Medicago truncatula: one gene and its partners. The protein of the gene in region 3 interacts with the protein of the main gene of each other region in a pairwise test. Links are inferred from orthologs where the notes say so. Each region holds a gene or a part of one and is shown on either strand. Other genes may lie near its edges.

The links.
Region 1: the proteins of ninja-family protein mc410 (region 3) and protein TIFY 8 interact in binary tests that used the Arabidopsis thaliana proteins (3 or more experiments, as listed by UniProt). The link is inferred for Medicago truncatula from reciprocal best matches to the Arabidopsis thaliana genes NINJA and TIFY8.
Region 2: the proteins of ninja-family protein mc410 (region 3) and protein TIFY 6B interact in binary tests that used the Arabidopsis thaliana proteins (3 or more experiments, as listed by UniProt). The link is inferred for Medicago truncatula from reciprocal best matches to the Arabidopsis thaliana genes NINJA and JAZ3.

Annotation. Positions count from the first base shown.
Region 1 is NC_053044.1:53,325,118-53,335,860, forward strand, and holds the start of protein TIFY 8, read right to left. Parts: upstream 5,287-10,743; 5' UTR 5,029-5,286; coding exon 4,821-5,028; intron 4,245-4,820; coding exon 4,057-4,244; intron 3,940-4,056; coding exon 3,497-3,939; intron 3,384-3,496; coding exon 3,293-3,383; intron 1,147-3,292; coding exon 918-1,146; intron 332-917; coding exon 240-331; 3' UTR 1-239. Other genes in the region: histone acetyltransferase HAC12, read left to right, coding at 8,007-8,209, 8,315-8,387, 8,524-8,803, 8,969-9,768, 10,141-10,419. UniProt on the Arabidopsis thaliana protein: Repressor of jasmonate responses.
Region 2 is NC_053047.1:33,186,208-33,196,956, forward strand, and holds the start of protein TIFY 6B, read right to left. Parts: upstream 5,141-10,749; 5' UTR 4,961-5,140; coding exon 4,873-4,960; intron 2,210-4,872; exon of another isoform or gene 2,071-2,209; intron 1,972-2,070; coding exon 1,775-1,971; intron 983-1,774; coding exon 729-982; intron 352-728; coding exon 252-351; intron 118-251; coding exon 1-117. UniProt on the Arabidopsis thaliana protein: Repressor of jasmonate responses. Jasmonoyl-isoleucine (JA-Ile) specifically promotes COI1-TIFY6B/JAZ3 interaction. Acts as a negative regulator of MYC2 function. Feed-back regulated by MYC2.
Region 3 is NC_053047.1:40,945,109-40,956,316, forward strand, and holds ninja-family protein mc410, read left to right. Parts: upstream 1-5,644; 5' UTR 5,645-5,795; intron 5,796-5,972; 5' UTR 5,973-6,150; intron 6,151-7,016; exon of another isoform or gene 7,017-7,100; 5' UTR 7,101-7,358; coding exon 7,359-8,337; intron 8,338-8,638; coding exon 8,639-9,123; 3' UTR 9,124-9,354; downstream 9,355-11,208. Other genes in the region: probable lactoylglutathione lyase, chloroplastic, read right to left, coding at 764-811, 901-1,113, 1,606-1,670, 1,799-1,923, 2,026-2,224, 3,207-3,312. UniProt on the Arabidopsis thaliana protein: Acts as a transcriptional repressor. Negative regulator of jasmonate responses. Connects the JAZ proteins and the non-JAZ protein TIFY8 with the TOPLESS corepressors.

The DNA of each region.
Region 1 (10,743 bases), on a different chromosome or scaffold from region 3:
AGAAACTGCAATATAAGATGTTTTTTACGGTAACACTTCATAAATATAGCTGATGTATCTGTTAGACCTCCTTACACAATCATCCTACTCTTGTTTCCCACATAATCTTTTTTTTTTTAAGGACTTGAAAGATCATGAGAAAATTTGACAAAAGAGGATGATACCCAATAAATAATCGGAAATAAGAGAAAGCTCTTGGGACTCCCATTGAGTATGAACATTTCAGCTTCAAACTCTAGTCACTGCGCTCTTTTGTCTTCGGAACTGGGATCTGCTGCTTGAACCGTCGAATTTCTGGTATCTTTAGCAAAAATACTTCCTTGATGTGCCCCTACAATCGGATATTTAGCAATCAATCAATAAAAAATTAAACAGTTCAAAAGAAATTAAACTTCAACTTGAAGACAAGAATTTTCATATGGATCATGTCGCAATCAAAATCAAGAAAATATTCGAGTTGATTCGGGCAAAGGTCTAAACTCTAAAGGAAATAGTGTGACCAATATTCTAATGCATTTAGAAAGAAAGGCATGTAAGGTAAAGAAAAGGATGACACAAAAAGGATCTAAAGGAAATAGTGTGACCAATATTCTAATGCATTTAGAAAGAAAGGCATGTAAGGTAAAGAAAAGGATGACACAAAAAGGATCGGTGGAATTGGTAGAGAAACTGTGCGCAGTTTTCAATCTCAACTGATTGTTCAAAGCTAATTTCGGTATTGTGTAATTTGAGTTGTCCGATCTCATATTAACGGCTGAGATCGTTTACTGCGTCAAACTGTGTGGGATACTGCATGCGATATTTTTGGGGTAAAAGATATTGTATTCTTTCAATCACTGCCAATTTGAAGAGGTATGGTAATACAGTATAAACTATAAAGTATCCAAATCAAACTATGTAGTATGCTTGAGGATTACCGGTTGGAGTAGATACACGGTCAACAGGTCCAACGGCGCGGCTAGAACTGCCAGCAGCAGACAACTTCCCATGAAGCTCTTCTGGGAATGCCACATTACTCACTAACCCTGTTTCATTTTCTCCACTATGCAAGTTACTATCATTGACCAGCTTTGCAGTAGATTTCGGTGAGAACGCTGTCGACCAAGATCCACCATTTGACCCAGCCAAAGCCATTATAACATCTGCCTGCATACGCCAAAGAGCGTGCAATTGTCATGATAAGCTGAATGACTTAACAGAACGAAAGATAAAAGACCTTCTGTTATGACTAGTGAAGATTTCAAGCCCAAGACAAACTATGTGTCTCTTCGAAAAAATTCCATTACAAGAACTAGACAAAGAAAGATCAAAGAAAATAAATAGATGAACCTATAAAATGAGTTTGCCCTAAATGATTTTAATGAAAAATTGGTTTTTGATAAAGCCCAAAGGCATGGATTGATCCATGTAGCCAACTCAAGTCAGAATTTAGGATATAACAATTTAACTGATCCTCACTGGATTTGGATTAAAAATTAAAACAGTGATGTTTCTGATTGTCCAATATTTATACATCAAGTCTAACAGTAACACTGGAAACAACTGATGATCAACACTTTCGGAACCAATAAACAATATCAAGCAACACACTCGCATTTCGAAGGACTTCAAGCAGATTTCTTTCTCGTTTTATTGAAATGGATATTTCACAGTTGAAGTGATTGATGGCCACTACAGTTTTTTTTACCCCACTTAGAAATCAGAATATTCCCTGCACCCTACTGTTTTGGGCATACATGTTAAAAAATCTATTGGGTTTTAATACTTGTTTTCACTACTATAAGACTAGAGTTTGGGCTGAATGAGAATCAAAGAGGGGTCTTGGGCCAGGCTTCACATCTATAAGCTATCATGACGATTACGAAAATAAGCTGAAAACAACTTATAGGTATAGCATACTATTTTTATAAGTTAATTCCAAATACTTATACAAATGACTAGGTGATAAGATAAGCTCAAATGAGCTCTTCCAAATGTAGCTTAAATGCAATGCTTGAGTCAAGACCCTGCTTGGTTAAGATTTCAGGAATGCAGATTACTATTTGTCACATTCCTATGCACTCTCAACGGAAGGGGCTTTATTGCTCCTTCAATACAACATAGGTTTGCATTCAGTGAAATTTTATACGAACAGACAGCTAATCAACTGGTCCACTCTGAGTGCATGTCTAACACAATCTTCACTGCAAATGCCAACTCTGTTAATTTTTAAGTCAGCCTTAAATTTCTTGATGGATTCGTGTTCGATGCAAAACGCTAGTGAAATAAAATGTATATGAAAGAATGCTACTTACTAACACACATACACAAGTGAATTTAACTTTAACTTAGCATCAGCAATGTGTTTGGAAAGCCAAACATTTTTTTAGAGAATTTTGAAAACTTCCAAATTTCAGCGGGGAAACATATTGAAAAGATCAAGAAAAAAATCCTAGAAAGAATAAGATGAAGAACACTCCCTAAGCTGACTTTATATACTAGTAATGTCTTAACTAAATCCATAGAAACTATCATCCAAATACATTCCTTATAAAGAACACTCCCTAAGCTGACTTTATATACTAGTAATGTCTAACTAAACCAGTAAGAGAAAAAGACTGTTTTCAAAAGTGACTCCACCGGTGTACCCAAAGCTTAAGCAAATGTATGATTGGTTGCTATGAAATCTTTTTCTATTAAATATTAGGGTTAATAGGTCTTTACCCCCCCTGTAATATAGGTCATTTCTGGTTTTCACCCCTGTAAAAGTTTTATTTTGATTCACCCCCCTGTAAAATATTTTTGTTTTGATTTACCCCCTAATAGGCTAAACAAAAACAAATTTTATTTTTTTTTTCAAGAAATTTTCGTTTTTGTTTGGCCTATTAGGGGGGTAAATCAAAACAAAAATATTTTACAAGGGGGTGAATCAAAATAAAAACTTTACAGGGGGAAAACCGGAAATGACCTATATTACAGGGGGTAAAGACCTATTAACCCTAAATATTATAGGTTCAGCACATCCACCATATTGTGCAATGACTACCAAAATAGGCTGTAGAAACAGCAACATAAGTGTTGTACGGAAATTAACTCCGACTATCAATACCATATTTCAGCTGAAACCTGATGAGTTTAAATTTAACTGTAAGTAGATTGAATGATCTTTAAATCAACCACGAATGAACCGCAGAGCGAGTTTTTTAAGGCACAATTTGTTACCCATGATGATTCACAAATCCAAACTAATTTCAGGCCTTATTTCACTAAATGCAGTTAACAGATATGACACGTTAAGAATACGAGGTCAGACCTTATGTTTGTGGACATCATCAAAAACATGAGCTTGACCTCCATAAAAGATAGTCATCTGGCGGCTGGCAGCTGTTAGCCCATGTTGACTACTGCTCAATGCCAAAATGCATAAAGTCAATCAACTTCTTTTTCCAAGGTAAAGGGAGTGAAAATAAATAGAAACAAGGTGAATTGAGCAACTGTATATATAAGATAAATTTACCTTGGGGGCGTGGATGATTCAATTATGTTAGTTAGAGGTTTTGGTCTGCTTCCACCGAGCAGCACTACAGATGAGATTTTATCAGTAGCAGTAGAAGCTGTGTTTATGGAACTTAAAATTCCAGGGCCTTTGATTCCAGTTCTAGATCCTTCATCAGCGGCAGGCTGAGAGATAAATGAAGGGCCGACAATGGTATCCCTAAGCTTGTTTGAAGCTAGTTGGTGTGCAAAAGGAGTCAACTGTCCTCCACGCGGAGGATGCTGCATGGAAGGGCCAGCATTCATGAGAATAGACCGTTCCCATTTATTCGCATCGATCTTCGTGTTGGCGGGAGCATGAAATATCTGAGAACTAGAAGATGGCTTCATTGACTGCATACCAAGTAACACTTCGTCATCATTAGGCCTTCTGGATCTCTCTCCCCCAGATGCATTTCGGAGGACCTGTACGAAGACAGGACTTAAGACATCAAAGAAAATAATATAAAAGCAAAAGTGTTTTTTTTTTTTTGGCTATTGAATATATTAGAGGAAAAGAATTAAGTGATATTTTAAAGTAACCTTCATCAAATGTGAGTTTTGAAAGGAATCAGGGACCATTTGAAAGGCATCTCTGGAGGAACCCATAAATGAGGAATCAGAATTACTTCTTTTATTCCCCACTAGTCTGTTACTTATCTCAGTGCCAGAAAAATCACTTCTTGGGCCATAGAATGGAACTCCCTCAAGATGATTCGATACCTGCTTTTCTACCAAATTGATGAGGGAAAAAACATTACATTCCTTTTAAAGATAACATAGAAACTTACTATAAACAATGTGTGTTTACAATTATAACTCTTTCCAGAATAAGAAACCAAAAAAAGAAAAATCAGACCAACACAAAAGCAAAAATTTTGATAAAACCTAAAAATTCATATCATTGTACTTCCCAATGCACAAACATTCACATGACATAACAAAGTTTTCAGTTCAAAATAATAGTATTTTCAGTATAAAATGATTAAATTCAATTCTCTGAGTCTAAATTATTTCATGGAAACAAATAATCAAATCATACACCATACTCTAAAGCAAAATAAAGTCCAGAAAATCATGACCATAAATTTGCATACGAAGGGGAAAACAATCAACTCCAACTAACTTGAAACAACCCAAATCCAAAGACACAAAAAAAAAATGAGGGAATAAATTGATACCCCACCAAAAGAGAAAAAAATGGAAAGTAAAGAAGTTTAGTGGATGAGAATAAACTCGGTAAAAAAAATGAAACAAGGGGGAAATGTGGCTAAAAATGAAAAGTTTAGTTGTTTAATAGTACTTACCAGAAGCGGTTTCGGAGGTGGAGGAGAAAGGGCCACGAGCACCGGCGGAGGAGGCAGATGCTGATGCCTCCGGTAACCTAACGTCGATGGAAGTATCAGTTGGCTTCATGCCGAGAAAATCATGGAGGAAGTGTTGGGTCCCACTGATGTTGTTGTTGTTGTTGTTTTGAGACTGTGAGTGTGAGTGAACCATTCTCAGAACCGCCATTGATTACCCATCTCACTCTGCTGCATAGCTGTGAAGTACGCTAGAGAGAGAGAGAGAGGAATGAATCAATCGTTTTCGGTGAAAAAGCAAAAGGTTCTTTCTTTGTGTTGTTAGAAAATGTAGTTGTGGAGTTTTCTGTTGTTGGTTGATTTTAATGGATGCATGTTTGTCTTTTTTGTACAAAACTTCTCTTGTATCATTCTCACACTCTCTTCGTGTCTCTAACGTTTGTTTCAGTTGAGCTGTAATCAATTCAATTCGGGACCTTTTGTCAGTTTTTCTTCTTACTTTTTTACTTTCAGACCCCTCCTTGTAAAATATCAGCTTAAAAAATAATTTAGTTTGTACTGTGCTACTTTTTTTGCACTATAGTAAATGACTACTTCATTTAAGGGTTAATGGTGTTTTACCCCATTAACCCTTCATTTAAATTTCATTGAAGTTGGAATCATCACACTAGCTTTTTTTTTTTTTTTTTTTTTTAGAAAACTTCATATGAGAAGAAAATATAAATGCAATCAAAAACTCTTGATTAAACGCATCATTAACAACAATCTTTGAGTATGAGAAGAAGATTACTTGATTTAAACTATACCGAACATTACACAATGATATAGGGTGCTAGTCCTTCGTAGATATTGTCTAGTTTAGTCATCAAAGCTTCAACGTGTTAAAAAAATGATTTTTTTTTAAGTGTGGACGACATTTTTTTTTTGAACAAGGCAAGATGAAATTTATATGAGAAATGATATTTTAACATCCATTTTTTAACAACTTTTGTGACAACTCTCTCTCATACTCTTATTGTACTTTTATTCTCTCTCTTCATTTTTCTCTCTCTATTGTTATTGTCCAATGAAAAGAGAGGAAAAAATTGTCACTAAAAGTTGTTGGAAATTGGTTGTCAAAATATCATTCCTCAATTTATATTAAAGGATAAAAGATTAAGGAAGAGCAACAAAGTTCAAACGCAACAATTCACCGGTAAGAGGAAGTAAAGTAAAAATATCTTATCAACGCTCAAACAATTTAAAGGTCGTTGCTACCACCCATATAACTCAATAGAAACAGTTACAACATTTTTCTTCAACCACCGCATCGATAAATATGGCCTTGTCCACCAAGCGAGGCATATATTTTGGGGGTCAAAACTGCCAAAGATCCAATACATAGGGGGCTGTTTTGTATTTTAATTAGTTAGGGGGCTAAAATCGTAACTTTTGAAAAGATAGAGGGCCAAAAGCGCAATTAAACCTAAAAAATAAACTCAAGTTTTTTCAAACGATTCTTTCTATTGAGAACTCGCTAACTATTTCATGCTAAACACTTTAGTTTCTCGTTTGATGCTAAAACAACTTTAATTATATTGTGTTTAATTTTAAAATTGTTCTAGAGATATAGTAAACTAGAGGTCCGACTAACGGAAATTTGTATTCATCACTACACCATAACACTTTTTTTAAGTACAAGTTTTAAAAGACAAAAATAATCTTTTGTTTATCAAACATCATATAAAATAAAAAATTGTTTGATATATTAAAAGTTTACCGTGTGTTGTTATATCTTATGTTGTGTAAGTATTGTTATGTCTATTATGAAAAATACTTATTTTTTAATAGATCAAAACATCGTGTGTCTAAGATACTCTCTATCACACCCTTCATCATTTCCCTATGTTATATACTGAAGATTTATCTCAATCTTTTATAATAAAAAAAAATGATTATGTAAATAACTATCCTTATGACATTTGTAAAATAAACAAAAAGTAGGAGACTTACATTTGATTCAACGATATTTTAACTTTTAAAACATAAAATCCATCATTTTTCACAATCTCTCAATGCAATATTTATGTTTTTATCCTTTTAACCAGTGTCCTAAATTCCCTAAAAAAAACTAGTGCCCTAAATTCCTTTTAACATTTCCAAAAAAAAAAAATTATGTAAAACTTAAATAAAACAAAAAATAAATACTGTTCAGAAGTTAAAGTTAAGAACAACCATTATTTTAAAAGTTGTCAACAAACAAAAACCACTACCATATCTTAGACTAATAATCCATCCATTTCAAACTGAGTCTAATTTTAGCTAAAAAGATGTTTTAAAATGAATGTCGCTTTTAGTTTTCAATGTACTATTAATTACTTTTTCTCAATAATACCCCTTAATTATTACTACGCACACACTATTTCCAAAGTACCACATTTTACTTTAATTTATAATGATGGGAAATGCACCAATAGTCAATAAGACTATTTTAGTAAAAATGTCAAATCTATAGACAAGACTATTGCATTTCCTAAAACGACATTCATTTCGAAACCGACATAGTATTACAAATGAGGAGGATCACATTAATCTCGTAATTATCTTGTTGTTTTCATGTTAAATTAAACAAGAGATTACCCTAAACTAAGAATATAAATACTCCTTCGTGTAAGAAGTTAAGAAGAGGAATAAAGAAAGAGACACAAGGGAGGGACCACAACAACAACAGCTTCAGCGATACAGGTTGTTCTCTCTCTCTCTCTCTCTCTCTCTCTCTCTCTCTAACGTTATCTTTGTGTTCTACAGTGTTATCCCCAATTCTTAAACCCTAACCCTAACCCTAATTTCATTCATTGTAATTGGGCCTTTTCTTTTTAGCGCACTCCTTAATCAATTCATCGTTTTTCAATGTCGGTATTGTTATCATTTGATCATAATAACTTCAATCTTGTTCTTAATTTCCGTTTTCATTAATCGATTTAATTCACATTCTCAACCTGAATGAATTAACAAATAAATGTGGGTTCTTAATAAACGAATTCTTGATAAATTTTGACAAATTTAACTGTGAGCTTGTTTAAAGTTATGATAATCATGTTTTCCCTCTTTATGGTGCGTCAAGAACATTGTTGGAATTTTCTCTAACTGATATTTGTGTATTATTTTTTGTGGCTTCAGAATGTGAATTGTTTCTGATAAGCTGAAAAGATGCTTGCGAAGGGTTCTGAACTTGGTGGGAATATTTGGAGAGAATTGCCAAGAAATTCTTCATCAGTTGTCTCAAACACTCCGCAAAAGAGATGTTTTGATAAATTATGCAGTCAACATGTAAGTAATCCAGCAGGATTCTCCACAGACTGGCGTTATCATCCTGAAATGGCATACAACCGTCACTGGATAAGAAAAAGAATGTAAGTGAAAGTGATTTAATTTTCATAGAAACGTGGTTGCTTCAGTTTGCTTCAACTTAAGATTGCAATTGAATTGAGACTATGCTAACTATAAATTTTATTCAGTTTTGAAATCATTCAGAATGAGCAATTTGCCCCTATGCTGGAATTATTGCTACTTACCACTGCTGCTTCAAAGGTTTGTTTCTTGAAATGTTGTGTCTGAACATAAAGTGCTTTTTTTTGCTAACAACATTTGCATATAATAGTATAAAATGCAAACTATACCTGTATTCTGTCAATTAAGCACAGTTGTTTTTCTACGAATTTGGCAGGAGGAATATATGAACCTAGAGACGTTGAATCAGCGTATGCAAGCTCTAGTGGGTCTTTCCAAGTCTGATGCCGCTGGTTATTATGACGTTCCAGAAGGGAGACTATCTGACCCTTTTATTGTTCATGGCCTGCCTTGCGTTCCTGATGATGGTTCGCCAACCCCCCTACTTGCTGATATGTGTGTGCTTCCTAACTTACCCGTTTTGTATGGTGGAAGCAATCTGGATGCTAACACCAGATCAAGTAGCAACTATTTTCCTCTGAAACACGCAAATAATGGTATGTTTAAATTAGATTGTGATTTCTCCCCAATTTTTAATCCTTATTCGTGCAATATTGATTTCATCTTTGCATATTACTGACTTTGTGCTTCTTTCTTTGCTAGAATTATTTTTGTTTTTAACAAATGCATTGCTTTACCCATTTAATTTGCTACTTTTGCAGTGGAGATGAATCTGTCAAAACAGAGAGATTGTTTGGGGTTTATCCAAAATAACGAGTCTACGAGTTTTCCTACTTCAATGGGAAAGTCCATTCAATTTGAAGATTTACATTCGACATTCCCTAAACTTGTTTCAGCGGATATTTCGGAACAATCCAATCTTTCTCCTGGCACGAGTTCGTGCTTAGAACTGGAAGATACAAGGCGAAATAAATCCCAGGAGTTGGATTTTCAGAACAGTTTCACTCATGCCATGTTACAACCTACGAAAAGACAGAAAATGACAGAGTTTGCTTTTGACGTCTCTTGGGTTAATGATGCAAGTTCTGATCAATCGACTTACGAGATGGCTCAATCTTGTTCTTTTGAAACACTTTCAGAAGTGCAGCAACAGTTAGAGACTATCGAGTCTGGAATGATTCCCTCAAAAGGCTTAGAGTCTGGCATGATATACAGCAGAAACTCAATGGAAATCAACAGTAGGCCTACTCTCAGGAAGGAGCTTAAAGATATTGATGACGATGAAGAGGACATACAAGGCAGAACTGGATTCATCCAGGAGGGGGTAAATGCTAAAAAAGAACTTATTATTGTTCATGTGGGTGAAGAGGACATTCAAGGCAGAACTGGATTCATCCAGGATGGGATAAACGATAAAAAAGAAATCATTGAGTCAAAAGATGATCAAGAGAAGCAAACAAAATCCCCAAATACAATAGTTGAGGCTGTTTCCTTGATTGATTTGTTCACACGTGATCAAATAGAAGAACATATTAGTAGTCTGAGAAAGGAATCTGTTCAGGTTAGTACACCACCTGCCAGTGTTTTCAATTACCTTGATCTGTTTATGTATGACTGTTATGATTTATGTCATGAACCAACTATTCCAAAAGGTAAAGCTATTTGGTTAAAGCTCATGAATGGTTCTTCTTTTAATCATTGGATGTTACGTATGCATGTTATCGTGAAATATTGAATGTCTGTATTTGCGTGCATGCTCAGCTGACAGATTTTATATACATTTGTCAATTTCTGCAAAAAAAAATTAAATTTATTTTTAGTTTGTGATTTTTATTAAAATTACATTTTCTATTCTGCAATTTACATATATACATATTTCTTTTTGCTTTTGAATTTTTAAGCCATATAGAAGTTAACAATTCTTTTAACACAGATTACATCTAAGGAGGAAGCAGGAATTGATGCAAACACATGCCAATTATGTCAAAGGAAAAAGCTTTACTTTGCACCAGTGCCAATTTTTTGTTCATGTTGTGGCGTACGCATCAGGAGAACCTATTTTTGTAGAAAAGAAGAAGAATTTGATGCACAGGGTTGCATTTGCTCCGTGTGTTATAAAACTTCTAAAGGTGGGAAAATTACATTCAATGGGGCATTTGTTTCTAAGACAAATCTCGAAAAAAAGAATAACGATGAAGTTTTTGAAGAACCCGTAAGTTTCAATATCGATTGCTATATAATTCAGCTTTATATACAGAGAACTATATAGGGTTAATAGGTCTTTATCCCCCTATAATATAGGTCATTTCCGGTTTCCCCCTTGTAAAATTATTTTTTTGATCTACCCCCTTGTAATTTTTTTTTGTTTTGATTTACCCCCCTAATAGGCCAAACAAAAACCAGTTTTATTTTTTTTTTCAAGAAATTTCCGTTTTTGTTTGGCTTATTATGGGGGTAAATAAAAACAAAAAAAATTACAGGGGGTAAATCAAAAAAATAATTTTACAGGGGGGGAAACCGGAAATGACCTATATTA
Region 2 (10,749 bases), about 7.8 Mb from region 3:
GCTTGGCAATGGTGAAGGATAGGGTTGGCTTATAATGAAATTATCCTTTTTGGAAGGAATAGAGATTTCTTGCTGCATTTTAGTTCCATTTCCAGCTAGTAACATGATTGCCTTGGCCTAGTCATAGAAAATAAAAATCATTAATATACATATAAAAGGGATTCAATGTTGTCGATCGCAGATTGCGGAAAATAACAGTTTGTTCAAATTCCACTACGCTATTAAGATAAGTTTAGGGTGAAAAAAGTTACCTTCTCAGGAGAGATGTCATCATACACGCAAACTGTACCACCATAAAATATGGTCAACTGAGCAGGTGTAGTACCATTGGATTTGGAACAATTCCTACTCCTATAGAAAACAAAAGAAAACAAAAAAATTCTTAGTGTTCCACTCTACATTGCTCCACAATATCATATCATAAAAAAAAAATCTTGATAGTACACTTTTAAACTATCAAACACGGATACAGACAAGGATATCAGACACAAAACGAACACCAATACGCCGACACCGCTAATAATTTGAGAAAGTTACGTAATTCAGTATAATTAAGTGTCCGACACCGGGACACGCCTAATATGAGGAGTGTTCATGCTTTATAGCTTTTAAACAAAATATGTTGTCTGAAAGTACACTTTCGAAAAACATGTGTTTTAAATTGGTCGCAAAAATATTTTCAATGAAATAAAAAAATTATTTATTTCAAATGTTTAAATTTATGATACCTTAAGTCAGTAGAGCCAACTATGGGACCTTTTGATGGAAGAACAGATAAAGGTGTGGCAGAGGATTTTGAACCAAAAGTTTGAGAGTTTGTAACTGAATTAACCATGTTGATTCCAGTTATAACATGATTAGATTGGTTTGAAACTGAAATTGTTCTTGCTTCTTGATTGCAAACTGATTGTGCATCAGAACTTTGTATAGGATAAATTGTAATTCCATGCTTGTTTCCTACTTGCTTTATGGCCAAATTTTCCTGCAAAATATCAAAAGAAGTTAAAAAAATTAGCTAAAGAAGAAATTATAGATACACACTTTCAATGTGTATTAGGTTATGCGGCGGTGAAAATTGATTTTGATTAAAAATGAATTGAATGTAAAGTTGTTTATAATTAGATGCATTCACGTAAAAGTTATTTTTACGAATTTATATGTTGTTTGAATATTTTAAATCAATTATTTTTTTGAGTGTGTAATTACCAAAAAAAGTTTTAGCATATATATATAAATTGAAAAAAGCTAGAAGTAATTCAACTTCAAAGTAAAATAAAAAAGTATATGGTTGGTTCCACTCTTGGAGGAATAAAACTTAATTACAAAGATATAAAATTGATTTTGACCTATTTAATGTTCTCGAGTAGAATTCATTTTAACTTGAATCTATAATTTCTACATTTTGTCTCTACAGTTGATTATTAGACTCGAATATATCATTTAATCCACTTTTACATAAATCTATCGAAACATAAATCATTTTACATTCAACTCACTTTTAATTAAAATCAATTTTTATCACCATCAAATCAAACACAAACCAAATAGTTGTTTCACCTAATAATTAATCTGAAACCAAAATTGTTTCTCAATACAGACACCAAGTCTGTATTGAGAAACTCAAGTCTCACCTTAAAACCTAACGAGCACTCAATGTTCTTCAACAAGGTTAAATTATTTTGATATATGAAACTACCCCTTCATTTTTAAACAAAGGATTCTAAAGTTAAAAAAAAATAAAAAATAAAAATCTTTATTAAGAGAAAAAACCAACCTGTGTCACACCCAAGAATGATTTCTGATTAGAATCAAAAGCATCTTTAGTTGAAATAGTCATATATCCAGATGAAGCTACTGGATCCATAACATTGTTTCTTGACCTATCTTCATGAGTGTTATTCTTGAATGACATGAATTGAGGAAGGTTTGAAACCTTATTTGAAAATGACCACTGCATTCCTGAACTCCTAACTGCATCAAATTTAAGAACATAATTTATGTTAACACCTAAATCAACATTTAAAAAAAAAAAAATATTTGAAATAACAAGTTTGGATCGATTTAAAATACCTTTTTAAACAAAGAAAAAGCACAATGATGATTATATTGACAATGATCTAAGTTACTAAGAAATTTTTGTTCATCAAGCTTTCTAAGATCACAAAGTGTTGTAAACTATACTTCAATATATATAGACACATATGAATATGATATATGTCACACAAACCTATATTTCATCTAACCCATCAAAATAAATAAATAGAAAAACTTTAGCAACAGCTATGAAATAATAAAAAAATTAATCTACCATAAAAATATTTAGAAGATGCTCTTGTAGAACTTTCATCACAAGAATCCAGAGTCCATGTTTTTTAAAAGATTATATTACATATTATATATAATCATATCACATGTGACCTTGTTACTTTGTTATTAGTTTATTTTCATTGTTATCTAGGTAATAACTGGCCAGGTACGGCATATAAATTTAAAATACAATAACAAAAGTAGCAAGAAAAAAAAATTGTAATTCCTTATGAAGCATAGTATTATTTAATCATAGTCCATCATCATATAATATAATTATATAATGTACTAAATGGTACTATTCTTAGTAGCTTGCAATAATTTATGATATGACTTTGTTTTTATTAAATGTTTCCTTTGTATATGAATATTTTATGTGCACCTCTTTGCAACCAGCTTGTCACTAACATAAAAAAAATGTTATTTATTTCTCAAGGCTATGCATGCATCATCAATGCCCATGTTAGACCTTAGATTTAATATTAAACATGGTGATTTGTTTTTTTTGTTTGTTTATATACATTGATAAAGGCACATATTTTTATTCTTTTTAGACTCTCATTCATACATCAGGATCCACGATATTTTATATTAAAAAACATACGATAGTGGTATGTATTTCTTTAAGCATTTAAATATTTATAATTTTGCATCAAAATCAAGAAAATGAAGGACCACGTTATGCAATAAAATATATAAAGAATAAAGAGCACCACCAAACAACCAAGAGCACGTTTTCTAACATAAGTTTTGTAACCAACCATCTAACCAAAAAAATATAGCATTTACAATTTATAATTTATTATTATAAGCAAGAAATGTGTCTCACACTCACATTGACACGTACACCACATTGATCAACACTAACACATAGAAATTAATAATAATTTTATAAAAAAATGGTTTCCTTCTAAAAAAAAACTAAATGAATTTTGTAAAAAAACAAATTTAAATGAAATGTTTTATTTTTAAGAGGCAAAAATGAAACTTATATCAACAACAAAGACTTTGTTCCTTCCGCACAAGAAGTGCTAGAAGAGAACGATCATAATTATACAAGAGTTTAGTCAAAAGACTCAGAGACAAAAAAATCAAACACATGTAGCCTACACCCAAACAAAGCAAAGGACTAGCAAACCAACTATGAATCCCGAACACATAAACAATGTTAGCTGCCTTCATCCACCAATATGAATGACTTTGAATTTGAACCTTTTCGACCAATTGATACATAGAATTAAATGAAATGTTGATGCTATATTTGCTTCTAAATTATTTAAAATAAAATTATACTCTTAATTTTTCTATAAATAATCAGTCTTAAGATTTTACATGAGCTTAACTTTATATTCATTTATTTTATGATCAAATTTAAATAAATAAAATGTAATATTTATGTTTGAGCTAAAGATAGATTAAAAAAAAAAGAAAAAATGACATAAACCTAATCAATGAAAAAGAAATAAAATAATAAATATTTATAATAAAACAGTTTTTATCAATAGGGTAAAGTTATAAAAAGTGTAAAATAAAAATATCAAGTGACCCACATCTATTTTATTTTGACCCTATATCACAACACACTTTTTTTCTTTTTGATGCAATGGGTGGTAATGTATGTAATTCAAACTTATATGCACATGGACTATATATCAACTAGCTCAATAATTGTGGCTTCCCTCTTACAACACAGTTGCAAGTTGCTATTCCCTACCACACATCACACATCAACTTTGAACAATAAATACCACACATCAAACATCAACTTTGAACCATAAGTATCACATGGCCCTAGCCATGTGCTAATATAAGATTTTCCTTGCAAACATAAGTAGCTGTATGATATATACTTTACCTTATTAATTCAATTATGTAGCATAGGAGGCTGCAAATTGCAGCTAAAATGTCTTTTAACTAGACTAGATAACCTTAAACAAGTTCACCCTATGAAACCTTAAAATTTTTGAACTTAATCTTATCCATTAAAGGAAAAAAAAGCAAAAGAACATAAGGCTACAAATTCATTCTTCTCTTCCTTGTTCTTCATTATTATATTATTATCAGGGAAATATGTTAACAAATATTTTAAAACATTGTTTAAACAATTAAAAGTAGTAATTTTAATATAAAAATTTGTGTAATTATTATTTTTACATGTGTTCAACTTATATTTTTAAGATAAAAAATTTTATAATAAAATTGTTAAACAATAATACCCTTAGGACACTTGATAGCATAACCCTTATTATTATCTACAAGTTTAAGCTAAATTTTCTTCATTTTTTCATCTTTGAAACAACAAACAAAAATTCATTCAAAACATAAAACTTAAATCCCCATGCATGATTAAATAATAAATAAAAATATAAAACTTAAATCCCAAATATATATATATATATATATATATATATATATATATATATATATATATAAAAGACAAAAAAAAAAAACAGCTGTTTTAGTTAATTTAATGAAAATGCAAAATTTTCAAGTTTCACATCGCCATAATAATAGGTGTTAGTGCAAAATATTTCATGGAAAATAGAAAAAGATGAAAATTGATACCTTGGTCTTTTGGTTTGTTGGAAGCATCTTCTTTCATGGTAGTCCATGGACTATTTTTGGAACTGAAGCCAAGGAATTCTCTTTCCATTTGTGGTGAAAAAATCAGATAACAACAAATTTATTTTTCTTCAAAGTTGCAGAAAGAATAAAACTTTGACAAGTGCAAAGACCAGGCAGAGAAAAGTGAAGTGTTTGGTTGTGGTGAATGGAGAGAAAACAGAAAGCAAGAGAGTAGAAAAAAGTAGTAACAGAGAGAGAACACAACAGAAATATATATATATATATATATATATATATATATAATAATGAACATAAAAGAATAAAATATGCAAATTGTTTCCTTAAAAAAAAGGTGCAAATTGTTGGATGTATATCAATCTAGTCTATCAAATTATTATATAATAAATTGACAATTTTTTTCTTTAAAAACATGCTTTTAAGTGAATAATAATATGACACCATTAAGTTGGTAATTTTTGTAAGATTTAAAATTAAGTGAATAATAATATGATGCATTTTCCTTCAAAAATTTATAATATGATGGATTTGATAACAAACGCAGGGCTTCTGTATGTTAGTTTAATTAAGTAAATGATTTGTATAAATATTTAGAATTTACTTTTAATCCATACAAATTAAAACCATTTTTTTTTTGTCCATGTAACATTTTTCTTTGGCATTTTGAAGTACTAAAATTATTGAAGAAAATTTTAGAAAGACGAAAAAAATGTTGGTGGAAATTTTACGAAGACTAAAAGTCTTGACAATAATTCTACATGGACTAAAAAATATTAAATTTTATTCTGTAGTGATTAAATTTGAAGTTTTGAATATTTATAAAAATCATTTAGTAATTAACTCAAACAAAAGTTATAGTAGAGTTATTTCTGTAAAGAGGAAACTAAATATTAGGTTGGAAACAATGAAAAGACTCATTGGAAACGTGAAATACATGTGAACCGTTGGATGAAAAGATAATCGATTATGCAGGATGGTTGTTACTGTTGATAGACATAACAGAAAGTGAGTAGACATCTTCAACTTGGTTATTTTTCTGATTGCATGTGTTTTTTATGGTAAAACCAAACATCAAGTATCGTACTTAAATTACAATCTTAAGTAGCTTTTTTAATTTTATTTTTAAACGGCAAAATTTTATAAATAAACATCCTTACACAAGATAAATAGAGACAGACAAGATAAAAATACAACAAACAAAGAGTGTTGCATATAGACTGAACAATCAAAAGAAAACTTGTACATCTCAGACATAAAAACCACCAATAGAGATATTATCCAACCGAGGGATACCACCAAAACTCAATACAAAAACTAACCATCAACACCAAAATCAAAGTCTAACCTCGACACACCAACAAAAACAAAAACTTCATCCAAATTTTCTACTCGCACCAAAACTCCTCCAAAAAAAAAACCCTGACCAAAACCCTATAACCACACCTCATATGAGCCCAAGCAACCGACACACAGCCTGCCAGAGAAAACACCAAGCAAACAAAAAAAACTTAAGTCTAGAAACAGAATCCTGATCTCAAAGCAAAAGTGATCGCTCCACAAGACTCCATAAAAGAAATCACTAAATGCATCCCTTGAAACTCCAGTACACTGGAATACACCATAATATCCCAAAAACTTGAAACTAGATACTAATTCCTGATCTCCAAGCAAAAGCGATCGGCCCATAAGAATCATGAAGACAAATCCCTCAGACAATCGACAGGTGGAAGCGGTGGCGCAAACATAATTAGCTCGAAAAAGAGTCCAACTCAAAGTCAATCCAAATATAAACACTCAAAATAAAAAAAAATAAAAAAAAACCCAACAATGGGAAAAGAGCTAGTGGCGGGGATGGACCCAGTTTGAAGGTCACTACAAGCAGACAATGGAAGACAAACAAAAGAAACCCCCCCCCCCCCAAAAAAAAAAAAAAAAAAAAACCAACCCACAAACTCGTCATCACCATCACCACAACTAAAACTTACAACCACACACAAAATCAACATTAACATTCTCACTCCCAAACCAACAACATCAATCTCCACGTCTTGCTCAGCTCCCTAATTCCTCGAACAAGAGAAAAAGAAGATAGGTTTGGCGAGCCTAATCTAACGAACTAGACATTGGTACTTTAACATATTTACACTTGTGAAACTCACCAGCCACCGAAAATTTGGATCTCGATTCAAATCTACCATCACAAACTATAACGAACCACCATAAGCACCGCCACAAACCACGACGAGATCCATCATAAAAACCAACACCACCATGAACTACAAACCACCATGAACCAACTGCCATGATAAACTAGAAGCCACAAACACGCATGTGGTGTGGGTTTAGAACCACGTCTGTGGGTTACAAGCCCATCTGGGTAACAGTGGTACCTCCATGAAGAAGCGCAAGTATCATATGCTGCCGAAGCTACATACAATCTTAGGTAGTAAAATTACCAAGTCGTTACTATCTTGACTATCAAGATGTTACCAAATATAAAAGATACATGCAAAATTTAAAATGTATTTTCATATTCTAATACATCCTTGTAATTGAAATTGGAAGTTGCCGAATGTTGAGACTAGGTAAAAAGTCATCAAAGAGTTGCCGTGGAAAGTGCTCAATGAAGATGTCGACTATTTCATATCATGAAGGAACATATAACACACAAACTTGGCCACAAGTAATTTTTTTGAAGAATGAATATCAATCTCAATGTGCTTAGTGTGTTTATGTTGAACGATATTACCATAGAGATACACGACAATTATGTTATCACGACATACTAATATAACCTTTGAGACATGACAATGTAATTCCAAAATAATATTCCTAAGTCAACATTACTCAGATACTACTTTCATGACTCCTCAATATTCAGCTTCAACATAGGATCAAGACAATATAGGTTGTTGTTTGGTAGACAAGAGATGAGGTTGTCCCCAAGATATACAGAAAGACCTTATGGTGTCTAGACATTCATCCCAATCTGCATCAGTATATGTGATGAGCTTATAAATGGAGGAAGGATATAGATGGAGACCAAAATCAAGAGTACCCTAAATATATCGAAGGCAAACATATGTTTTGTTTTTATATCATGCATAAACAAACACATTTGTAGCGTGACATAAGAGATACATAGTCTTGTAATGGTCAAGTATTGTAGGGCTCCAACAAGTCTACTATACTCACTTGGATCATGATATGGGTTGCAAAAAGAGACACTATGTTCCACTTGTGTGTCCACTAGTGTAGCAGATGGTTTGCAAGAAGCCATACCCGCACGCTCAATATTTTCCTCGACATATTTCTTTTGTGACATAAAAATACTTCTTGTATGTTTGATAACAGAAATACCGAGAAAGTAACTAAGAGGACTCAAATCCTTCATAGAAAATTCAGAGCAATTTACATGTCATGGATTATTGAAGGAAATATGAGGACGCGGCTAGAATGATATCATCCATATAGAGAAGGATATAAGCTATATCATTACCTCAGTGGCAAATGAATAAGGAATGATTGGAGATGTTGTTAGAGAAACCCAAGTTAGCAACGTAGTGGGTAAGTCACTAATATCGAGCACAAGGTGTTTGTTTAAGTCCAAAGAGTGACTTATTTAGCAAGAATGCATAATCATGATGTTAAGGATTGTGAAAACCTGGTGGTTGATACATGTAGACAGTTTTATCAAGATTACCTTGTAAAAATGTGTTCTCGACATCTAATTAGTGAAAACACTATGATTAGTGATATAATAACATTGAGAACCATCCGAAAAGTGGATGCTTAGACTACGGGGTTGAAGGTTTCCCTATAATCAATACCATTTTTTTAACTGACCCCACTACCTACAAGATGGGATTTGCACCTCTTAAAGGATCTATCATATATATATATATATATATATATATATATGTCTGACAGTCCACAAACTTTGAATAATATTAGCATTAGATGGGCATGGCATTAAGTCCCACGTCTTATTTTCAATAAGAGCGTCATATTCTTCTTTCATGGCCATTTTTAAATTATGATCATGTAATGCATAAATGGGATTGATGGGCAAAGAAAAATTAGATTTTGGAGATGAGGTATAAAGATTAAAAAGTTAGAGGCTTAAAATTTTCATGTTGTGCTCTGGTGGTCATTTGAGGTGAGTGAGGTGGGTATGCGTTGAAATTATTTAGTTAGAAGCTTGTGGTGAGGTCAGTTATGGGGAAGGGCTGAGAGTCTGTGTTTGCGATTGCATTTGTTCAGAGGTAGGACTCATAGTAATGGTATTTACGAATGGAGTATTTGTGGTCGATGGAGGAGCATTTACAGTAGGGGTGTGTTGGTTTGTTCTAGCAGTGCTTTGATGAGGATAAGTTTTATGGGAGTTAAGAAAGGATGTGCGCTTGTATCCAAAAAATCATAGTTAGATGTTGAAGGAGCGCTGAAGGTAGAAAACAGAAATGTATTTTCGTCAAAATTTACATGCCTAGAAATGATTGTTTTACGACTCGACAATTTGTAACATCTATATCCTTTATGGTTGGACGGATAACCCAAAAAAAAATGAAAATACTTAGTGTTGGCCAAATGAATAAACAAGAGTATGAGTTTCAGTAAAGGATTTTGGCGAGGCAGGATCAAATTTAGCCATAAGGAAGGAGGAAGGCAATTTTGCCAGCGGCTAGGGTTAGTAGAAAATGTGTGTTTGTGTATGTGTGTGTGGGGTGTGTGTGTGTGTGTGTGAGAGAGAGAGAGAGAGAGAGAGAGAGAGAGAGAGAGAGAGAGAGAGAGAGAGAGAGAGAGAGAGAGAGAGAGAGAGAGAGAGAGAGAGAGAGAGAGAGAGAGAGAGAGAGAGAGAGAGAGAGAGAGAGAGAGAGAGAGAGAGAGAGAGAGAGAGAGAGAGAGAGAGAGAGAGAGAGAGAGAGAGAGAGAGAGAGAGAGAGAGAGAGAGAGAGAGAGAGAGAGAGAGAGAGAGAGAGAGAGAGAGAGAGAGAGAGAGAGAGAGAGAGAGAGAGAGAGAGAGAGAGAGAGAGAGAGAGAGAGAGAGATGGCGACTAGGGTAAATGGCTAGGGATAGAACATGCATATTTCATTGCTTGAACATGCATATATACAACAAAAGTCTAAACTACCAAGTTTTTACTGTTTTGATTACTAAGTCGTTACTAATTTAACTATCAAAAAGTTACCAAATATAAAAGATATTACATGTTATAATAAAAACTACATTAACTCAGAACTAACTTTAACATTTATTAGCTAACAATAACTAATTCCTCTCTTAACCTTTTTTTTTTTTTTTGTTACAATTCCTCTCTTAACTAATTGCAATAATTGTGGTATAAAATAATCATAAAAGATACGTATACATCATACATTTTTTCCCTAAAAAAATTCTCTTTTCTTTCTATTGTTCATATGCAGTTTTGCTCCATTTAGGGGCTTAGGCTACGGTAGGAGACCTCAATGGATCTTCTACCGTAGGTGACTACATTTTTTTTTTGGTTTCTAAAATGCTTTTTAGCCATTGGATTTGGAAAGAAGTTTTCAATGGCATAGATCTTTAGACATGTTAACCCACTAGTAATGTATATTACTCTCTTCGTCTCATATTAAATGATCTAGTTGATTTCGACACACGTACCAATGCATATGTTTTATCTTTGATATCTTCAATTCTCTGTTAAAAAAAATTATGAAAACTTAATATTTTAAAAATATTCATCGAGACGATTCCAACAATATCTTATATGATATTATTTATCTTTGTGAATTAGTAGAAAAATATGGTCAAAGTATATTAAGTCAATAATGTATATTGTCAACTATGTCATTTATTGAGGGACGGAGGGAGTATAA
Region 3 (11,208 bases):
AGATGGAAGTTCTCAATATATATAATTCAAAATCAAAAGAATCTATCAGCACAACACAGTTGAAGATCTGAACAAAAATGAGAATAAATTGAAAGAAGTGTGACTGGGCTACATGCTCATCAGAGGTTGACATAGATAGTTTAATCTTCATCATAAAACAACACTTTCGCTACCGATCCATACGAAACAGTTGAAACATAATGTTTTGGTAATTGAGAAGGTGAGGATCAATGCCTTATGAAATACAAGAACATTCAGCGGTAAGTAAGTTAAAACATAACCCATTTGGGGTTGGCCTGGTGGTTGGCTTGGGATCTTGGAGTTTGCTCCTCTCAAGGTCTCAGGTTCAGATTCCCTCTGGTGTCAATTTCGGTGGGCTAGTCCATACAAATCTTTGCTTTGGCTTTAAATGGGCCCTCCACAAGTGGGCGGTGGGATTGGTCCCCTCGGATTAGTCAGTTGATGGACCGGATACCGAGTTTTAAAAAAAAAAAGTAAGTTAAAACATGAGACAATTTTTTTTATAGGAAAATGTTGGTGGTTAATTTGTTAAAGGCGTTGGGGGAGAGGGGGTTTGATTACCCTAAGCTTAATTTATCCATTCAGATTAAATTTTATAAGAAAGTTTAGGCATCAAGAGTCCCTCCCATGATTAGATATAAACAATAAATCCTAATCATCTTAATTGCTGAATTCAAGGTATATGAGTTACAAAAAAGGCATCAGAGCCAGGATATATAACACAAAAATGATGCCCAGGTACCTTGGATTCTGGATCATCTTGTTTACGAAGCAACTCCATACCAACAACCTATACAACAAGCAATCGCATAAACAAATTAATGTTTTGTATAGGAAATGAGAAGACTATAATCCAACATAAAGTGCATTGGTTCTCACCTTCTCGTAAAATTTTATGGATCGATCAAGATCACCAACCCGAAGCATTACTTTGCACAGGGGTTCGGGAGAGGGAGCCCTTTCCAAAAGTTCAAATTTATAACCATCAGGGTCTTCAATAACTGCAACAGTTGAGTCGCCTCCCTTGACCGGACCAGGCTCTCTAGTTATTATGCCACCCTTAGCTCTCACAATGTCCACGACTCTTGAAATCTAGTAAATGGTTACAAGGACAAAGAAATTTCATTGATGCATTGGTCAAAAGATCAATAGAGGAAATTCAAAGAAATAACCAAGTCCAAAACTACAACTATGTTTGGGAGAAGGGTTTCTTATCTACTAGCATACACACTCGTGAGACTGTTTGAGGGAGCTTATGAAAACAATTTATGACATGTGCATAAGTTGTTTTTCGACTTATTTCCATAAGTTCTACATGATAGCTTGCGGAAACAGCTTATAACTTATATTGAAACAGTTTGATTTTACTTTATCTTTTGTTATAGAAATAGCTTATACATAAACAGAGACACTATTATGATAAGCACTTAATTAAGCTGTTTATCCAAACAGGGCGTAGTTCAAACGCAAAAATACACGTCAACGGGAAATAACATAATTTTAGAGGGGAGTTTTTTCTATACAATGATGAGAGTAGTAGGCATAGAAGATAGACAAGTAGTCATAAAAGCTTGAGAAACTAACATCATCCATAGCAATACCATAATGGCCAAATCCGGTTCCAATGTCATAGGTCTCAATCCCATAATCTGAAACATCATCAAGAGAAAAACAGTTTTAACATAAGAATTTCCATTGCTCGGGGATGTTAAAGTAACTACAAAGAATGCAAAGTTCTGTAATTATGAGGAAAGTCAACAAGTTAGTCGATTCTCACTGTATGTTAGTTCAATCGCAAAGTGTGCATCCTCAGGGCCGTATCCAAGAAAGGCATTAGTATATTTCTCCTCTGTCATGTCACGTTTTCTGAGCACCTTCATTCCAAGGCACTCTGTATAAAATCTGAAATCACCAACAAGTTTTTGTTTTTACCATGAGAATGTTCACAGTAACAAATAAATAAGTTTGCAACTAAATTACTAATTCGTATCAAATATAACATACTTTATGCTCTTGTCGAAGTCACCAACACGATATACGACATGAAGCATTCTTCTCTTGTCCCACTTCACCCAATCTAATGCATTTTCCTGTGTAACAGATTGAGACATGCTCCTTGATGCCATCACTCTCATACTTCCACTATCATGTCTCAACAACCTAGATGCTTTAAGACCAAAATTTTGGGGCAGTAGTCTAACACCTGAATTACAACCCAAAAGCAATCACAGTTCATTAACCTATAATACATACCTATGAATTACTAAATTTTATTTTTTTTATAAGCATTGAGATAGGTTAGGCATCAGGGAGAGACATAAACATCCCAACTAGGTTGGCATGAAACTGAAACTCCCATCCTCTACTGCCTGCTCAATATATATTATTAAAAAAAGGAAAAAATAAACGCATGAGAGGTGACTAGACCAAAACCCTCAAAAAGCGTAAAGAACAGTAATGAGCCACAAAACCAACATTGTTCCCCATAACGCCCAGAGATTAGGCAATAAAGCGTCCCTATGAAGATGCTACATTAGGTACACACTTTCAATATGCAACAGAAATAATATCAATCACTCCCAAAAACACATGCCATATGTCAAATTGTCAATATAATGCCAAATGCAATCAATTTTCCCAAATTATTACAGGTGTGAACGTGTTAGTGTTGTGTCTGTGTTGGTGTCAATGAAGCACCAACACAAACATGTGACATGTGTTGGACATCGGACTCTTCAATATGAAGTGTACGTCTTGGGTAGATAGACATGTGATACATTCAATTATTCAATTTTCTCAAACTATTACTGATATCAACGTGTCAGTGTTATGTCTAGTGTCCGGGTCTGTTTGAGTGTTTCATTATCATTAGCATCTACATATGCAGGACACCAGACATGTCTCTAATATGAAGTGTCAATCCCACCTAGATACACATCCTCAACATGCAACAACAACACTAATACAAAATCTTTGTCAAAAACACATTCCATTATGTCAAATTATCAATACAACAGCAAATGCAATCTAATCGCAAACTAACATAACTTCCCCATGCAAAAATAAATCAAAAAAACAAAAACCCATTTTTAAATTTTCCATAAAAATTAAAATTTACGAAAGAATGATTGAAAAAGACAAAAACTTTGAGGAGTATTTGCCAAAGGGTCAACGAATAAACTTACCATTACGAAGATGAAAAAGAGAGAATCTCTGAGAGAGGTTGCGTGAAGAGAAAGAGGGTAATTTGTTGAGTGAAGAGAGTGATGGACGAATTGAAGAAGAAGCCATGGAAAAGGACTGTACAGAGTGATGTGATGATGAATGTGGAAGATGAATTTTGAAGGAAAAATGTGGAAGATGATGAATATAGAAATATGAAACTGAATTTGCAATATTATAGGGTTTAATTCGTTTTTATTAGTGTGAAAAAAGGAATAAATGATTTAACTAATAGTAGTAAACAAATGATTCGTTTAATTAAGTGTTTTTTGGGAAATATGTTTTTTAAAAAAATTATTTTTAGAGGAGAGAGAAGATAAATGACAGAGGAAAGTTAATTTTGTAGCAAAAATTTCTTTTATTATTTTAACATATTTAATTATGAACTTATAATTTTTATTCGAGTTCATCACCTTTCAAATAATTTATAATTGATTTCTTTATGAATTTATAATTGATGCAAGGACCTCCTTAAAAAATAATTGATGCAAGGATCTAATAATAAATTATTTAAAATTTTAAAACCTAAATTATTTATTTTTTAAGTACAAAAGAGAGATGAAGTTTAAAGTAAAACTATGAAATTAAACAAACATTTTTAAACATGTAAATTCTGAAAACATTATCCAAGAAGTTCATTAGGAGGAGTCCACATAATAGTATAATTTAAAGAATTTAAAGAAAAGTTAAGGTTGGTCGGCCAATCAACACAGTAGTTTTCCTCTCTCCAAAGTGTGGTGATGTTGGCTATGTCGATCCAAAATAAAAGATTGTGAATGTGCCAAACCAAAGTGAGAATCCTCCCATTAAACATGTAGTCATTTATAATCATTTTAGTTAGAATTTTGAAGTCACTTTCCTATATGAGATGAGAAACGGTTCCTTCCACACAAGATCCAAGTGGTGATAGATATACATCTCAACATAAAGGACATCATAAGCTCCAATCTTCTTTATGTAACCTCCTATCCATCTCCAGTTAGAATTGTGAACAACACCACACCCTAAAGTATCACCAAGTCCTCTGGAGACCCCATCACTATTAGGCGTTGTACCGCCATCAAGAGACTTTTTCCTATCAATATAAATCGTCTCCTTAACATTAACATTTGGTTGAAGCGGCTGAAAAGTAAATATCTAAATCTCCATAAAAAAAATTGTATTTGTTAATATTATAATGTGAGTGAGGATCAAATTATTGATCTACTTATATTGTTTAACTTCTTAACACTTTCACTTTAACCACTAAGTCAATCTTATATCTGATCAATTCTTTAAGAAAAAGAACAATACATAACGTTCTCTCCTAAGTTTTCCTCTATTGGATTGAATTCTATTCGAGACACTAAATATAACCAACGAAGTCTTATTAGATCACAATCATTTGAATACATTATTTATACATGTAACAAAATACCTTTTTTTAAAAGAAAAATATATATCATATAATTATTTTAATATTTAATTTTATCACTTTTTGCATTTTCTCAAATGCATGACAAAAAACAAAAATGTTCAACTCTAATGGTGTGTTTGTTTGAAGAGAGTTACAAGAGAGAGAAGATGGGAAGAGAGAGATAGAAGAGAAGTGTCCAACTTCTCTTGTTTGGTGGAGCAGAGAGTTTAAAGAGAGAGATTAATTTTGTGGGCCCTTGCCACCTTTTCTTTTCTTCACAGTCATGAGAAGAAATGCAGAGAGACAAACATTTTTTCCCATTTTTCCATTATTACCCTTTTAATTTGATACATATTGTCCATGTGCTAGGTAGTTCTTCAATAGGGTACACAATGAGTTTTTTTATTTTTATTTTTTATTTTTTTATGGATACATGTACAATGACTATGACGAACTTAGTAAATAATTTGTTTATAGCAACTAGTTTTTGTAAACAACATTAAAAATTTATTTTCATTGAAATTTATAACATAAAATTGTGCATTGTTTTTTTTTTTTATGTAAGAGGATAGTTTTGTCATTTCAAAAATTAAACATACTTCTTTCTTTTCTTTCTCTCTTCTCTTTCTCTTATATCAAACAACACATCAAATCCACTATATTTATCATCTATTTCTCTCTTCACAACTTCTTTCTCACCTATTTCTCTTTTCACAACTTCTCTCTCAAACCAAACACACCCTAAATAATGTGTCTAAATTCATGCGACCAACTAAATATTTTTCGATATCGACCCAATTCCCTCTCGATTAGGATTTCGACCTGGTTGGTTAGACTATAACTTCTTTTACTATATTAAACTCCAATGGTTACTTTGTTTTTTCTTTTTTAATAAAATTTTAAATTTAAAAAGTAATTTTTTTTTATGACATGGTACGGTCATATTCATAGCAGCTTCACTAAACCATGAGAATCACATTGGCAAATAAACATTGACAATTTTATTTTTATAATTTTAAAATATTTTTTTACCAAAAAAATATATTATCCTTATAACCAAAATTTTCCCTATATTTTTGCTTCCACTATCAATTTCCACTGATCTCTGCATAATGAAAACCTCAATTAGGGTTTGATCAATCCTCTCCCAAATCAGGTATTTTCAATTTCCCCTTTTACCCTCTTTCTCTTCTGCACTCTCCAATAATTTGCATATAAACCCTAATTTCAGTTTTTCACAATTTTTTCTTAATATTTTCCCCAATTATCTATCTCTCAAATTAAGCTTTTATACTCCGATCGGATCCTGAACCATTTTTTCTTACCATTCAAGGAACGAATTGATACTATAAAGGTTTGATTTTGATGAACAGAAGTGGTTGATCATATAGCTATAGATTTGGTGTATTCTAGGGTTTTGAGCTGCTTCTGATTGGAGTTGGAAGCAACAAATAGTTGAAATCAGTTGAAAAAGAGTTGGTGAGATAGGGAGGATTTAGATCAGGATTGAGGTGAGGTTTTTATCTGATTCATATATACTCGCTTTTGATGCTTCTAAATTTGGATGTTTTTTTAGTTGAATTTGGTTACTTGTTTGTTGTTTTTATTTGAAAAGTAGATAGTTTTGTGTTTTGATTTTGTGGATTGTTAATGGAATCTGATCTGTCATTGAGTATAGAAATAGCAATGAGTTGTTTACTGTTAATTTTGTGTTTGAGTATATGAAAACTATGATTGTGATAAATGTTGAATTTTGATACGTGGTCAATGTAAAATGTTTTACTTCGTCAACGGATCACAACTATTCATGTGTGACTTCAAGAGTAAGGGTTTGTTTGTTACGGATTATAAAAAAAAGTGATTTTGATACTCAATAATTTAGAGATTAATATTTAGAGTTTTATAGAAAAAGCAGAAGCTGTATTGTATTTGTTTACTAGAATGAAAATCACAGTTTATTTTTTTTTTAAAAATAAATCAGTTATAAAAAAATGATTTTCTGATAAGCTACTAAAAACAGCTTCTCATTTGAGGAAGTTTTTAGATTTTTTTTCCTTCGGATTCTCATTTTTTTGAAATTCTGTAACAAACGAATGAAAATTTATAAAAGTGATTCAGTTGTCACAAACGATCTCTAAATAGAAATTCTGTAACAAACGAATGAAAATTTATAAAAGTGATTCAGTTGTCACAAACGATCTCTAAATACGATTTAAGTCAAACGTTTGTAATGTCTCAACTATTCCAGTTGATTACCAATGTAAATCATTTTTCATTGTATATAATAAATTAAAACCGTGTGTTAATATTTTAGTTATTTGAGTGTGTGACATGCAACTGACATGGCTTACCTTGTTTAAAATCAAACTGAATGCAGATATTTGAGGATGGTTAAATTGATGCGAGTATAGTATGGAAGATATGATGATTTAGCTATTTGATCTGTTTTGAATTTTGATAGGTTTGGAGATATTGCAATATGGAGGACGATAGCGGGCTTTAGCTCAGTTTGGCTATAGCTGCTAGTTTACAAAACTGTTAATATTTTAGTTATTTGAGTGTGTAACATGCAACTAATAATGGTTTGCCTTGTTTAAAATCAAACTTAATGCAGATATTTGAGGACGGTTAAAAGTTGATGCATGGGTTTAGTGAGGAAGATATGATGATTTAGCTATTTGATCTGTTTTGGATTTTATAGGTTTAGAGATATTGCAATATGGAGGACGATAGCGGGCTTGAGCTCAGTTTGGGTTTATCTTTTGGTGGTTCATCAGCCAAAGCAAAGAGTAAGAATGGAAGCTCCTCCGATACTAGGGGAGAAGAAAACGGTAGAGGTGGCAAGATGGTTGATGATTTTAAGAGCATGTTTAATACCGATCCTCAGAAGCCTGAATCAAGCGGTGGGAGCCGAAGGGCTGATTCCTCAAAGCCCGAGGAGAATTTCTTTAGTGACCTTTCAAAGGTCAATGACGATAATGCTTCTTTGAATTTAAATGGAAGAGGATTTCTGGTTGGAAACAACAATAATAAACCAATTGAAATTGAGGAAAATAAACGGTCAGAGGCAGTAAATAAGCGAAGGATGTCTTTTGATGACATACGGAATCTAAAGAGGCATGACAGCGACATTCATCATGGTGATTTACATGACAGGGCAAGAGCATCTCACATTTCTTTAACAGAAGATGGTTCAACTGCAGAAAATGAAGACGTGGCTGATTCTGAAGCTGAGAACTCTACCTCCAGGCCTCTCTCCAACCATAGTGATGGTTCTAAAGGATTCATTAGGGTCGGTGCTTCTTCTGATGCTTCGAAAGAGGTTCGTGGAGTCGCTGACTCAAGCGCCAATGGGCAGAAGAGATTTACCGGATCCACAGAAAAAGATTTCAAGCATGCAAACATGACTTATGGTGCTCCCTTTTCTGCTCAACAAGTGAATATGATGAGTGGACCTTACACTTCGGCAAAAGAGTCAAACTCTGTTGGGGCACCAAACCCTCAAATACCTGGAGTGATGCATATGATGCCAACTACAACCGGTGAACGTGCAGGAGCTCAATCTGTGAGTAATGGAAGCTTGCCGATGATGTTTGGACATCCATATGTTCAGCTTCCCATGTTGGATAAGGATAGCTCATGGGGACGTCCCCAACAGTTTCATCCTTCCTTTGCTGGGAGAGGTCCAGCTAACTCAGGTAATTGTGATTTGAATGGACATTATTTCTAATTAATCAAATATACCTGACTCAGAACTTCAAAGATCTAAGTCAAATTGATAAATTGTTGGTTAAAATGTTTTGTAAACTGAACCAAATATTCTAAAATTGGTTGGAAGACTTGCATATTGAATTGGGTTGGATCTGATTTATATATGAAAAGTTAACGATTGTTATAGACATTTGTTTTTCTTTTTCATGCGCAAGCTCTATTGTTGTAGCTTGATACTTACCGAGTTTTTATTGGAAATTACATTATGTCATTATTGTGTCGATGCAGCTGCGTTACACCTAAACAATATATCCGAGGCCATGCCATATGAAGGCAGGCCGCTAGAACGAACCAAAGGTGATGGAAAACAGCGTGTCACTGAAGAAGGCTCCTCTTCACAGCCTGAAGACGTGAAAGGAAGCAGCACAAACCTCAGGGGCAAAGATGCACCAGAACAGCCGAAAGGTGAAGGTTCCACCATTGATTTTTCAAATATTAAGCCAGGGCTTACCGCGGATGTGAAATTCGGAGGAAGTGGTTCCTACCCAAATCTGCCTTGGGTATCCACCACAAGCTCAAATGGAAGGACAATATCAGGTGTTACTTACAGGTACAACACTAACCAAATCAGAATCGTTTGTGCATGTCATGGTTCTCACATGACTCCTGAGGATTTTGTTCGTCATGCAAATGACGAACAAGCCAATTCAGATAGCAATTCGGTTTTGGGAAGCTTACCAAATGGTAATCTTGGTTCCTCTTCTCACAGTTAGATTACTATCATCTACCCTCCAGGTTGTACTCTATATATTGTAGTTCTCAACAAGAGAATCTGGAATTTCCATAATTTTTGTGGAGATGAATGAGTTTATTACCATTTTTTTTCTATTTGTCTATTTCACTTTATTTACTTGCAGCAGCTGCAATCAAAATTGTAGTTGTATTTAATAATGGCTGAGCTTTATAGCATCATCTATTATATTAAATAGTAATTAAGCATGTAATTTTGTCGTGTAAGTTTTTTTTTTTTTATGAATTATTATACTTTGATGGTATACAGTTATTTTACACATCATCCGATGATGCCTTGCCACGTCAATTTTTTGACCCATGAGTCGTCATATTCATTCATTGACACGACAAAACATAATTGGATGTATGTGTAAAATAATTGTACAATGAGAGAGTATACTAATTAAACTCTTTTTACTCAATTTAAATTTTAACTTTTCCCTTGACATTAGAGGATTTAGAAAAGAGAAAAAAATGGCTTGAAAATATTTGAAATGGATTGGTTTTTAGAGCCTTACTAGCTATACCTAGAAAATATAATACGATAGATTAAAAAGGGTTATGACAAACTTCTAGATTCAAAGAATGGTATCATCATCTATATAAGAGATTCTCACGCTGACAATGAGAGTTGAACCTACACCCTTGCAGAGATGAGTCAACTTACCAATTCCTTCAAAAAAAAAAAATACCAATTGAAGATAATTTTTTACTCTCACTTCGAAAGTATATTTTTGAGAAAAAAAATGTAGTTTTTTGATTTTATACCGCCAACACATGTAATTTTTTTGAACACAGGTCGGGAAAAGAAACTCCCAAAATAATTATTTTTACTTTTATTTTGCAAGGTTAAATATCTCACCAAGGATTAACACAAGTGATTGGTGTGCATGGTTTGTGAATGTTGTGAGTTTTAGAATACGAGAAATCTTAACGAGACACTCTTTAAAAATCTTAAATGATATGATTTTATAAGATTTTGTAGATTCAAATGAATTGAAAATGGAATCATTTGACCTTTTAAAAAAATGATTTTATTAATTTAAAATCCTTAAAATATTTAGATCTCTCTTTTCTCAAATGGAATTAAAAATCCTATCCAACAACCATTTTCCTTTGTTTTCTCCACGTACTAACGGAGCCTCATTTATTGCAAGAGATAATAATAATATAGAAAGAGATGAAGGCTTGTGCCAACTTTTATTCTTGTTTTATTTTTGGACTAATTATCAAAACAACTTTTTAATATGTCTACAAGCTTTTCTCTAAGTTATTTCTATAAGCTCTTCTTAATATAGCTTATCGACACAAGTTATATATAATCTCTTATGTAATAAGTGATTATTTAATGAAAATTTAAATTCAGAAGTAATCTCACTTGTCATGACTTAATCCCAATATATAAAGATATAGTATATCAAGCAATGTTATATCACACTATCACGTATCAATAGCATTATCCCTTTCTTCTATTTCAAGCAGTGTATAATAATCATCAATAACTTTGTTAATTTTTGGGTTACTTAGTTTAATTTTTATTTGACAAGATGCCAGAGAAAAGAACAATTGTTCAAGCATAACTATTTCGTGTGTTTCACGTATCATTAGCATTATCTCTTCTTATGTTGTCACTTGTCACCATAAAAACAATGGGATTTTTTTTAATTGTTTTGACCAAAGGTGTTACTCCATCCGTCTCAAAATAATGATCATTTTAATATTTTTTCTCTATATCAAAATAATTGTTATAACTGTTACTTTAAAATACCAATGCAACTTTTTATTTTTATTTTTTATTATTATACCCTTATTTAATAAATTTCATCCAACTTAACTACTCAATTAATTACAATTAATAAAAATATTTTAGTAAATATACTAATTTTATCATAAAATCAACACATTTATTCGTTTTTATAAAAATTACACTCAAAATTTAAACGATTATTATTTTGAAACGGAGTAAGTAGATCTTTGTTACTAAGTCTTAGAAACATTACAGCTTGAATTAGGTAACATTATTAATTAGGTAGTAACAGCAAGACATGCATGTCCTTTTTTGATTA